Canis lupus familiaris: one gene and its partners. The protein of the gene in region 3 purifies or fractionates together with the protein of the main gene of each other region. This does not show direct contact. Links are inferred from orthologs where the notes say so. Each region holds a gene or a part of one and is shown on either strand. Other genes may lie near its edges.

What was found.
Region 1: the proteins of RHOU (region 3) and NCK2 purify together in Homo sapiens (co-immunoprecipitation; 3 studies listed by BioGRID and IntAct, with this or other methods). This does not show direct contact. The link is inferred for Canis lupus familiaris from reciprocal best matches to the Homo sapiens genes RHOU and NCK2.
Region 2: the proteins of RHOU (region 3) and PAK1 purify together in Homo sapiens (co-immunoprecipitation; 5 studies listed by BioGRID and IntAct, with this or other methods). This does not show direct contact. The link is inferred for Canis lupus familiaris from reciprocal best matches to the Homo sapiens genes RHOU and PAK1.

What each region holds. Positions count from the first base shown.
Region 1 is NC_049231.1:38,675,510-38,679,157, reverse strand, and holds part of NCK2 (cytoplasmic protein NCK2), read left to right. Parts: intron 1-3,093; 5' UTR 3,094-3,109; coding exon 3,110-3,335; intron 3,336-3,648. UniProt on the Homo sapiens protein: Adapter protein which associates with tyrosine-phosphorylated growth factor receptors or their cellular substrates. Maintains low levels of EIF2S1 phosphorylation by promoting its dephosphorylation by PP1.
Region 2 is NC_049242.1:21,520,050-21,523,697, reverse strand, and holds part of PAK1 (serine/threonine-protein kinase PAK 1), read right to left. Parts: intron 2,668-3,648; coding exon 2,530-2,667; intron 1-2,529. UniProt on the Homo sapiens protein: Protein kinase involved in intracellular signaling pathways downstream of integrins and receptor-type kinases that plays an important role in cytoskeleton dynamics, in cell adhesion, migration, proliferation, apoptosis, mitosis, and in vesicle-mediated transport processes.
Region 3 is NC_049225.1:10,804,853-10,809,011, forward strand, and holds the start of RHOU (rho-related GTP-binding protein RhoU), read right to left. Parts: upstream 2,821-4,159; coding exon 2,559-2,820; intron 931-2,558; coding exon 872-930; intron 1-871. UniProt on the Homo sapiens protein: Binds to and activates protein kinase PAK1. Plays a role in the regulation of cell morphology, cytoskeletal organization and focal adhesion assembly during cell migration. Also stimulates quiescent cells to reenter the cell cycle.

The DNA.
Region 1 (3,648 bases), on a different chromosome or scaffold from region 3:
GTCATTTCCTAGGTGCAAGGGAACTTTTTATTTAAACCGGGCCTAGAATCCTAAGTTTCTTAGGTTGGAATAAGCCCATCAAAATATAGATCACACAGTAGACCCTCACCTAGGCACCCACAGAAGTGGGCACATAAGCATAGATTTGGGAGTCAACAGATCTGGGCCCAAATCCTGATTCTGTCATTCAGCTCGTCGCTTAATCTCTGTGATCCTCAGTTTCCTAAAAGATAACACCTCCCTGAAAGGTGAATGTTCTGGAGATTAAACAGGTTGACATGTTCAGGTACCCAAGACACACTCAAAATTTTCATTATAGTCCAAGGTCTAAGGACCCAAGGAAAGCATCCTGAGGTGGCATTCTGTGACTCAGATCCCCCTTACTTGGTTTTTCCCTCCTAAGGCCTGTCAGAAAGATGAACTGTAAACACCTGCTGCTCAGACCTCACTCCTTAAGATTGTGATATATTTGGTCTGTGGTAGAGCCTAGGCACCATATTTGTTTAAGCTCCCACATGATGTTCCCACATGATGTACTCTGAAGCACACCCTGCCCAGCTAGCTCCTTACCTAACAACTGTTCATGCAGTTAAGTCACGCAGGAAAGTAATAAATTGCTCCGATTGGTCTTATGCGATGGGCTGGTCTTGTTAAAAAGTCTTGAAAACTCTGTAATTAAGAAATAAACCTGGTATTCAAATGGAATATTCTCTGAGCCCCAGTCCTATTACTGCTCTCATTATTATTAAAAAAAGAAAAGAAAAATGGCCTTTATGACTTTGAAAAGTTTAACCCTAACAGAAAAGTCTGGAGAGAGAGAGATACAAGTATGGACTGGAGATCTCCAATAGTATGTAACAAAATGGTCTACAGTTTGAAAATGAGCATTGTATAAACTCTGTCCTCTTAGATGTTGCATACATTATGCATGAGGTTTATTAAATATTTCCTCCTTCCCAAAAGGTTTGTTATCTCTACAGTTGGAAGTTAATTCAAGAAACAGGAGAACATGTATTATTTATAAGTCTCTTTAGCATCTAGTAGAAAGTGTCATGTTATTTAAAAATGGTATTCATGCCTCCATGGCATCAGCGTGCATTGGTTCTCTCTATAATCCTGAAGTCATCCCTAGAAAGTAGTGAGAAATCGTCTCTGTCAGAGAGGAAGAAAGAGGGTGTTAGTCAAGAGTCTTTCCAGTATCCCTTCCTTTCAAGTTTTAAGGAAACTGACTCAGTTGAAGGACTGGATATCGAATTTTTCTGCTGGAAAAAATACTGAGCCATCTTATACCTAAAAAGTATGGAGCTGCTGACGTTGTTGATAACTGTATTCAGTTTAGTCATTCAGATACGCCTTTGCTATATATTACTTCAAAAACTGACTTAACTAGATGTATAATATACTATATTTATTTCTTGTTGTTTTAATAAACTTGATATTTTGGGATGATTTTATATATGGTTCACTCTTGATATTTTATGGGTCTCAACAAATGTGTAATGACGTGTATCCACTATTAAAGTATCATCCAGAGCAGTTTCACTACTTTAAAAATCTTATGCTCCACCTGTTCATCCCACCCTCCTCCCCTGCCCCTGGCAACCACTGATCTTTTTACTGTCTCCATAGTTTTGCTTTTTGCAGAATGTCATATAGTTGGCATTGTTAAAGAAAAAAATTATTCATGACATTGTTTAAAGAAGGGTAAGGCAGACTTAACTGAGAGGCGTGACTACGGTGGGGTTGCATTTGGGCTCAATTCTAAATAGAAGAAGGAAAAATGGGAGTTTATAGCCAAGGAGTAAGGTAGGCCACAGATGAATGCAGTCACTGAGAGCGAACATCGGGTAAAGGAGGGACTCTGACTAAACTGACCTGACGGGATCCTCCCGGAAGGCAGGCCAGGCGACTGGGCACATGGCCTGGGCAAGAGCGGAGGGTTCTGGCTAAACCAGCCCAGCAGGGTTCCTGCTAAAATTGGGACACGCAGAGACAAATGTGGAAGTACAGGTGTTGAGGCCTAGTCTGGGAAGAGGATTTAAGTAAGGTTTCTCCATCCCTTTTTCTGGCTTGATAGCTCATTTCCTTTTTATCACTGAGTAATAAATACTCCAGTACCTGGATATACCACAGTTTATCCATTCACCCCCTGAAGAACATCTTGATCACTTCCAAATTGTTCCAAGTGTGAATGAAGCTGTTTTAAACACTGTGCAGGATTCAAGAGTAATTCTATTTTATTTTTTTTAAAGATTTTATTTATTTGGGAGAGAGAGAGAAGGAGCAGGGAAAGGGGCAGATGGAGAGGGAGAAGCAGACTCCCCACTGAGCAGGGAGCCCAATGTGGGGCTCGATCCCAGGACCCTGAGATCATGACCTGAGCTGAAAGCAGATGCTTAACCAAGACTGAACCATCCAGGCGCCCCTCAAGAGTAATTTTATATGTATAGAAAAGTTGCAAAGATAGTACAGAGCATTCCCATATCTCCTTTACTCAGTTTAACCTGTGGTGTTAACGTGTCACACGGCCATGGTACTGTTGTCAAAACTAAGAGTTGAACCTTGGTATATGTTACTGTTAACTAGCCATTATTCAGATTTCACCATTGCTTCCGCTAATTTCCTTTTTCTGTTTCAGGAGCTGATCCGGGATACTAGATTTATTTTAGTTTTAATTTAGAAGAACAGTTTGGGTGTGTGTGTTCGTTAAATGCGTTCATAAAACTCAGCATATCTTGAGACGGTGGATACAAACATAGCAGCTACAAGGAGCTGCTGTTACTTAATCAAGTGAACACATTTAATTATGACATTGTTACTTAGAATTTTTTTGAAAGTTTGTTTCTGGTTTTGGCACAGCATGCAGATTTCCCAGTGTACAAAATGAGGATCTGTTTTACTAGGTTGCTGTTTCTAAACAAAATGCTAAAGCTTGTTGAAAGAAGGTCATTTTGAGGTTATTTCAAGACCCAAGAGGAAAACCGGTTGCCAAGTTGTAATAAAAGCTGTCAATGCATAATTTTTCAAGTTGATGCACAGGATGAAGTGTTTGGTTGGTTCTCTAATGAGCATCTCCAAATGTTTTGCTGGCAGAAGGACTCCATGAAAGATGACAGAGGAAGTTATTGTGATAGCAAAGTGGGACTACACTGCCCAACAGGACCAGGAGCTGGACATCAAGAAAAACGAGCGCCTATGGCTACTGGATGACTCCAAGACGTGGTGGCGGGTGAGGAACGCGGCCAACAGGACGGGCTACGTGCCGTCCAACTATGTGGAGAGGAAGAACAGCCTGAAGAAAGGCTCCCTCGTGAAGAATCTGAAGGACACACTAGGTGAGTGTGCCCCTGCCCTCGGACCCAGGTTAGAGCTGAACCACTTCCTGTTATGAAGGCGAGGAAGCCTTGTGTTTTTGGAGGGGCAAGTGTTCATCTTTTTAGTTCGTGTGTGTGTGTGTGTGTGTGTGTGTGTGTGTGTCTTTTTTTTTTTTTTTTTTTTTAAGGTCTGTTCTACGTTGCCATCTTTCTAGTTGTCTTTTTATTTTTGATCTCTGGAAATGAAGAGACCAAGATGGAGAAATACCATGCTTGTCATTTCCTAGAGATCTTAAGAGTCTAGAGTCTTATGTAAGTTGATACTTCTGCATGT
Region 2 (3,648 bases), on a different chromosome or scaffold from region 3:
GAAGGAAGCCAGACAAGAGAGATTTCATACTTGTATGATTCCGTTTTATATTAGGTATGACTAAATGATGATAATTGGAATAATCATCTCTGGGGAAAGGTATTGACTGATCATGACCCAATGGTATATTGTAATACTGCATTTCAGGAGCACTGATCTAGGGATTTATTATTCTCTCTTTGAATCCAATAAAGCCTTCAATAGCTTGGTCCTTTCCCAGATCACTTTTACTGGGCTATACTTTGGGCCACACCCCCAACTATTAAAGAAGACCATTTTGGAGAAAACACTGTATGAAAACTGCATCTACATTTTCAGCAAAATTGTTATGGAAAACAATTCATTATGTAACTCAGAGCCTCTTAACTAAAAATGATTTTTCTTACATTTAGTAGTAAAAAGGCTTTGTGTCTTGAGGATGTTATGTTTTTCCATTTGATAAGAAATATAGAAGCTATCACATTTCCTTTCTGTCCTAGTCACCAGGAAACTGAGAACCAAATTTGATGTTTAAACAAACCTAACTCAGATGATTAGCGTATTTGATCTTCTGCCATTCTTATAAGTCCTTTTTATTAATCATATTGTATATTATATAGGCACATATAGGTATATATACACATTCATTGTTGGAAGTTGCTTCATGTTCTTTTCGGACAGAGACAGGATATAAAAAGGCACTGAAAACAAGAAATTAATATGAAAGATTCAAGTAAAAGATTTTGACTAAATCGTAAAGATACAAATTCTAACACAATACCCTAGGTATTTTTGTCCATACATGTGTTCCCACAGGAGAAACAGATGTGAAGCTTTTGTGATTTAAGATACCACCCCCCCAAAAAAGATACCCAAAATCATGGTTTTGAATATTTACAATGTACAGTAACAAGTTTAAGAGCCATTGTTAACAAATCACATGTTTCTGTAACTTCCCTCTGGGTTGAGAAAGCAGCGTGATCCAAGATCCACCTGGGAGGCCTCAGTTTCCTACTCCGTATAATAAAGTATAAGAGATAAGCCCTAAAGCCCTTTCAGTTCTAGCACTGTCTGAGACAAAAGAGCAGTGGCCAAGAGCATATACACTTGAGAGCCAAATAGACATGGGTTAAAACCCTGAGTCCGGGATCCCTGGGCGGCCCAACGGTTTAGCGTCTGCCTTCGGCCCAGGGCATGATCCTGGATCCCGGGATCGAGTCCCACATCAGGCTCCCTGCATGGAACCTGCTTCTCCCTCTGCCTGTGTCTCTGCCTGTGTCTCTGTGCTTCTCATGAATAAATAAATAAAATCTTAAAAAAAAAAAAACAAAAAACACCCTGGGTCCACTGCATATTAGCTACATAATCATGGAAAAGTCACCAAACACTTGAAACCTCACTTGCCCACCTATAAAAATGGGAATAGTAGAACCTATAAATCACAGGGTGGTCATAAAGAACAGATGAAAATATAAAGCACTCAGTGCCTACAGTGTGGTAAAGATTCAATATAATGCATTTATTGTTACTTAGGTGTCACAGGAAGAAAACTCTAGAGGGCACTAATCTTTCAATTATAATTTGGTACCTAATTAACAATATCTTCACCAATTATAGGCTTAGAGTACTATCTGAATTATTTTCCCATGCCTAGGATTTCCAGAGCAAATCGCATATGGAAGGCAAAGGGAACCTACATGGTATTGCCTGATACAAGGTATTTTCAGTCCCAAAGAATCCTAGAGACTAATGGGTTACAGTTGGTAGAGCCCAAATCTCAAATCTAATGGACCAGTGCTCTGTAAATCCATAACCTTGACTACAAAGAGATGTTAAATATGTTCTAGAAGGTAGCATTTCAGTGAAAGTGAATACTTTTAAGTAATTTCATTCAATTCAATAAATATTTTCTGAATACCTTTTCTAAGGTCCTAGGTATAAGAGGAGACCCAGAAATTAAAAAGATAGAAGTTATAATCTAGTGGGAAAGACAGAGTCATTCGTAACTAACTTTAACACAGTAGGTATGCCCTGCCTTGCTAACTTGCTCTTGGTCCTCATAATAAAGTAACCAACTATGCATGCCTACAGATTAATCACCATCATAAAGCTGAATGTGATACTTGTGTGGTGGCCTGCTAAAAGCAGTTTTTGCAACCGTGTGAAATAATTATGTAATTTCAGGACTAAGCAGGTGGAAGTATAAAAAGCTTGGTAAACCCGCGACTCCAGGGTCCCCAAAACTCTAATTCAGGCAAAACAAAAGAAGTGCTGATGAAAGTTACAGGCAAAGTTCAACAGGAGCTCAAAAAGTAGATTTTTAAGCTAAGTCTATGAACATGTACAGAATTTAACAGACTGAGGAAGAGCCTCAGGGAATAATATGAACAAAGGTCCAGAGATAAAGGCAGTTAGGGAACTAGGAATATAAATTGAGTGTGGGAAGTGTAGGAAAGAAGCCTACTAGTGCCTTACAGACAAAAATGAAGCAAAAAAGTCTTGGTTTAGTGATCTCTTGAATTTGGAGCTTCCCTGCATAGAGACAATTACCTGCAGCAGCTCTTTAGCTGAACCTCTCTTCTCCACATCCATCTCAAGACAGCGGTTCAGAAAGTCCCGGAAGAAAGCTGACAGCTTCTCTGGGTTCTGAAGCTCTGGGGTCCCATTGGTGGCAATGAGGTACAAGGCCTGGCAATACAAATGGGAGAATCACCTTAAGCTCTAGCGGGAGTTCTTAAGTGCCTAGACCTGTCCTCTAGAAAGATGGTCAGCTGCTTTATGCCTTTAGGACACAAAGAGTAGCTTTGGTATACTGGAAAGAAAACGACCTAAGGATCAGAGTTAACATTTAAAAGGCCATGTGACCACATGCAAGCCAGTGAACTTCCAAATTCCTCATCTGTAAAATAGGGATGAGAATAGTAACCTATCTTACAGGTCTGTAAAAATAAAACAAGATAGTATTTTGGAAAGCACTTATAAACTTATAAAGTGTGTTCCAGACCCATGGGTTTATTATTATTCTTGATTATAGATCTAAAGGATTTATTATTCACTTATTCACTTAGCCTGGTTAGTTAAACACCTATCTGCCACTTGCTGGAGGAAATTACTCCTGATGTCTTCACCTTAGTCACCTAAGAACTGTTTTCTTCTAATAAGAGAGGAATATAAAAATAAAGTGTTCCATAAAGCAACAATATGTTTCCCTGTTACCTCCCTGTCCCCTAACATGAACAATCTTATGAGACAGGTGATTTTTTTTTAAAAAAGCACTCAGCACTTTAATTCATAAAGTATTTACACAAACACTATCTCATTTAAAGACCACAATAAATATGAATAATAGACCAGGCAAGAATCATCATCCTCATTTCACAGATAAAGTCCAGAAACATGAAGAAATATGCCTGGGACCAAGTTATTCATATGAGCTTATGTCCTCTGATTCTAATGTGATTCCAGTTTTATTTCTATCACACCCTACTGATCATCATCTTCAATAGGCCACTGTAAGATGGGGCAAGATGGTATGTAGAATCAGAGGGCAAAGCTGGGACCTTTGGGCAGTTTCAGTTTGGTACACTGAAGCACTTTCCAATAATCAGAGCTATCCAAGAGGTAACCAGTTAAGATAAGACCACATATCAACACCAAAATACACACGAT
Region 3 (4,159 bases):
CACAGAGAACAAGGAGATCTCAGTGATGAGCACTGTGCCAAGGGTCCCTGGAGCTCGTCGAGGAATACCCCCATCCCCGTCACTCCCTGGGTGTCTCATCCAAGTGCCTGACCCCCAAGACAAGAATAAATGTTCACGATTTGGAAAGACTAAGTCCAGGTTCATTCACTGCCCTAGCTCAGGACAGCTTCGCCACTGTATCTCTGCTTCAAAGGACGGGGTGGCCCTAGTGAGGAAACCACAGCATAGGGAGGGAAATATTAACACCCACTGACACAAACTCCATCTTTTTCAGGGGGACCCCCAGATGGTACAGTTGGCTGAGCATGTCTGGTTCTTGGTTTCAGCTCAGGTCATGATCTCAGGGTCGTGGGATCGAGCCCTGTGTCAGACTCCACACACAGCATGGAGTCAGCTTGAAGCTCTCTCTCTCTCTCCCTCTGCCTCCCCCACCACGCTCTTTCTCTCTCTCTCTCTAAAATAAATAAAATCTCTTTAAAAACCTCCATTTTTCTCTTGAGCAAATTTAATATTTGGCTTGTTGACTTCTAACAAAATGATTCTATCACCAACTTACTTGAAGAAATGATCACAAAGCATCACTGATAATTTTTTAATAAAAACGAGAAAGTAAATAAGATCAGAAACTCCATAAGAATTCCTATTCTTGATCCTTTGTTCCCTATCCTGTCCATGCAAAGCTGGACTAAACCCTGTTTTATGAGGGCAGAGCCATCTCCCCACCTCACTGCCACCCCCTGAGAGGGGCAGGGCTGGGGCCACTTCATGAGGCTTTAGAATGACCCAGTTATAGAGCGTAGTTATTCTGAGGCCTCTAAATGGCCAGTCCCTTCCCAGCCAATCCACTAACCTGTCCGGCAGTGTCACAGAGCTGGAGTCTCACAGGCCGGCCGTCCACAGACACCACAGCTTAAAAGTAAAGTGAAAACAATTATCAAAGTGTGCCTTTTAACCCGTTTCAGGAAGAAAAAAAAAAAAAGTTATAGCTGGGAACTACCATTCTCCCTCCAAACCTTTCAGTTATTCTGGGTTTCCTCACGAATTAAAGACTTGCCTAAAACAAGGAGGCCCCAAGGAGGCATTTTTGTCTACAAACCCTCCAGGGCTGGCAATTCCCTACCCTGTCAGGGCTGAAGCTGCAAATCCCTTAGCCGTTTGATGGCACCCCAGAAAGACCTGTACTTTTAGCCCAGCCCCGGAAGATTTATTTTCCTGTCACACTCGGTTCAAAAAACCTAAAAACAACACTAGGGGGTAAATGGGAACCAACCTTGCCGTTTTAACTCAGTGGAAAACCTCACAAATAATTCTGTTTTCCCTTGGGAAGAGTTCCAAGACTTCATGGTTTATCATAAAATTGTAGCTTGTTTTGAGAACATGAGCAAACACAGGCTGCCTGCATTGTCCTGTTTATAGAAGAGGGCACTGCTTATCTCACCATGTCAGCTCAAAGAGAGGATTAAAACAGAAAAGAAGAGAAAGCCTGCCCACCTTTCCACTAGGATGGGGTACTGGGCAGGGGCTTGCATCAGGGCACAGCCTGGATGTTTCTACTTGAATTTAAGCACTCAGGTTTGTCTCAGTACAACTTTCTAAATTGCTTTTCATGTTTACAATAGTCAGCTGGAAGGGAAAAGGGGTGAAAAACAGAACCATTTGGGTGGAACCCCATTAGTGTAGCAGTTTTCTCCAGGGTACCTTCGAGATGGAAGAAATGAAGCGCTTGCCATCAGGACTCTCTAAAAGGTCAAGAAGCTTTTTTTTTTTCTTTTCTTTTAAGAGCAAGAGAGAATGCTTTCCATTAGCCTCTGTGGGAGACTCGTACTTTACCTTTACTAGTCCTTTCTAATAAATTTCAAAAAGACCTGAAAAAAATCCTTTATCTTTGTTTCCACCAAACCAAAACACAGCACACCATACGTAAGAGCTTAAAGAGACGCTGAAAAAAATATCAAGAATCAGAAACAGGGCCAACGGGGGAGATGGAAGTCGGAGCAGTGGGCGCAGGGGAGAGGCACGCTGGAGAAATCGCGTTTATTCTCAGGGTTTAATCCAAACCTAAGCCCGTAGCGCCGTTTTCACTAAATCAAGTCTTTCCTGCCGTCTCTGTGGCTCTTCAAAGTGGAGACGCCCCTTGTGAGCGGAGCCGCCGAAAGGAAAGGACCGACTCCCAGGGCCACAGGTAATGGCACCTGCGCGTCACCTTCCCGGTGAAACTCTGCAGCGGCGCCAGCAGCGTCGACCTGACGCAACTTTGCTACGCAGCAAACTGACCAGGCTTCCTGAACTCGACCTATTTGTTATTAAATTGCCGCATCATTTCTTTTCGCACAGGCTCGGTCCCCGTACCCCGCCCCCTCCGCCGGGCTCGGGTTCGGGGGCTCCCGGCTGCCCCGCGGTCCTGCAGGTGGCTCCGCGCTCGCCGGGTCCCCACGGCCCGGTCCGCTTCCCATCGGGGCCCGCGACCCTCGCGCGACGCTCCCTCCCGCCGGCACCGGGCCGCCAGCACCGCGCCCCCGGCCCCCGGCCCCGCTCACCCGAGAAGTTGTCGAAGGCGGTGGGGATGTACTCGGTGGGGTAGCCGTTGGTGGTGTAGCTCACCACCAGGCTGGTCTTGCCCACCGCGCCGTCGCCGACTAGCACGCACTTGACGCCGCGCCCCTCCGCACCGCCCGCGCGCCCCCGGCCCCCCGGCGCCCCGGGCCCGCGCCCCCCGCGCGCCCCGCGCTCCCGGCGCGGCGGAACGGGCGGCGCCTCGCAGCGGCCGGGGAACGCGGGGTCCCCCTGCTGCGGGGGCATCGGTGCGCGCGCTCGGGCGTGCAGGCGCGGGCGAGCAGGGCCCGGCCCGACCGCCCCTCCGACCCGGAGCCCCGCGGGAGGGAAGAGCTGTCAGCGACCGCTGCGGGCGCGTGCCCGGCCCCCGAGAGCGGCGCTTCCAGGCCTCACGCTCCCAGACAAAGGCGGCCCGGGGGCTCGCGGCTCGCGGCTCGGGCGGCGCCACCTGGCTCGGCTCGGCGCTGCCGGAGGACTGCGGGCCGAGCGCCGTGGAGCCCGAGCGCGCTCTGTCTCCTCCCGGCTTCCCGGCGACACGACGCGTGGGGGGCGGGCGGGGAGGGGAAAGAGGCGGATCCGGCCCGGCCGCTCTGTCCCCGCGCCGAGGCCACAGCGCCCCCCGCCTGCGCGCCGGGCCCCTGCACCCGGGCCGGAGGCGGTGCTACGCCGGGCAGGAGGGGAGCGCCCACGCGGGCTCCGGGTCCCAGCACCCGCCGCGGGGCTGGCGGACGGGCGGCAAACCCCGAAAGCCGGTGGTGGGGCGCGGCGCCTGGAGGAGCCGGCGCCCGAGACCCGCGCCCGAGACCGACACCAGCGCCGGAGCGGCCGGAGCGGTTCCGCTTCATTGCGCCCCCGCGGCCGGGAAGCCGGGGCTTGCTCCTGTTCCCCTGGCTCCCGCCTCCCCTTCTCGGCCGCCGCCGGTGCTGTGGGGCCCCTTGCTGGCCACAAGGTGTCCTGGGGGTGTCCTGGGGACACGTTTGCAAGAGACTGAATTAAAAGGCAACTTTTTGAAGTCTAGCTAAGCCCATCGTTATTTAGCCCACCTAAAATAATTTATATCATTTGGGAGCAAAATGATACCAGATCCAGTGTTAATGCTCGTTTGGTACGCCATGAACCGGCAAATTGATTTTAGACCCAAATTCTTCTTTTATTTTACTCAAATGTAATTTGGCTACATTAAAGCATCAGGGCAGGGAGGAGACGGGGGCGGGGGGGGGCAATTCCATTTACCTCTGACTTCTTCCTCTCTGCCTTCCTCCTACATTTAGCAAACAGTCCATTCAGACAACACGGAAGCCTCTCTGGGTCTAGTCAGGACACGGAGGCTCCTCAGGGTTCACAGTGTGGTTTCAGAAGCAGCACATACTATTAACATGAATACTGATGCTACAACAACAATAACAGCAATAGCTAATACATACTGAGCCTTTCAGTGCCAGACACTGTTGTAAACACTTTGCCTGAACTAATTCCTTTCATCTTGACATCACTTAAACCCATTTTACGGATGAGAAAATCTCAGACACAGAGATACTGAAAAAGTGCTCAGGTTCCCAGCTCACAAAGTGGCAGTGACAAGATC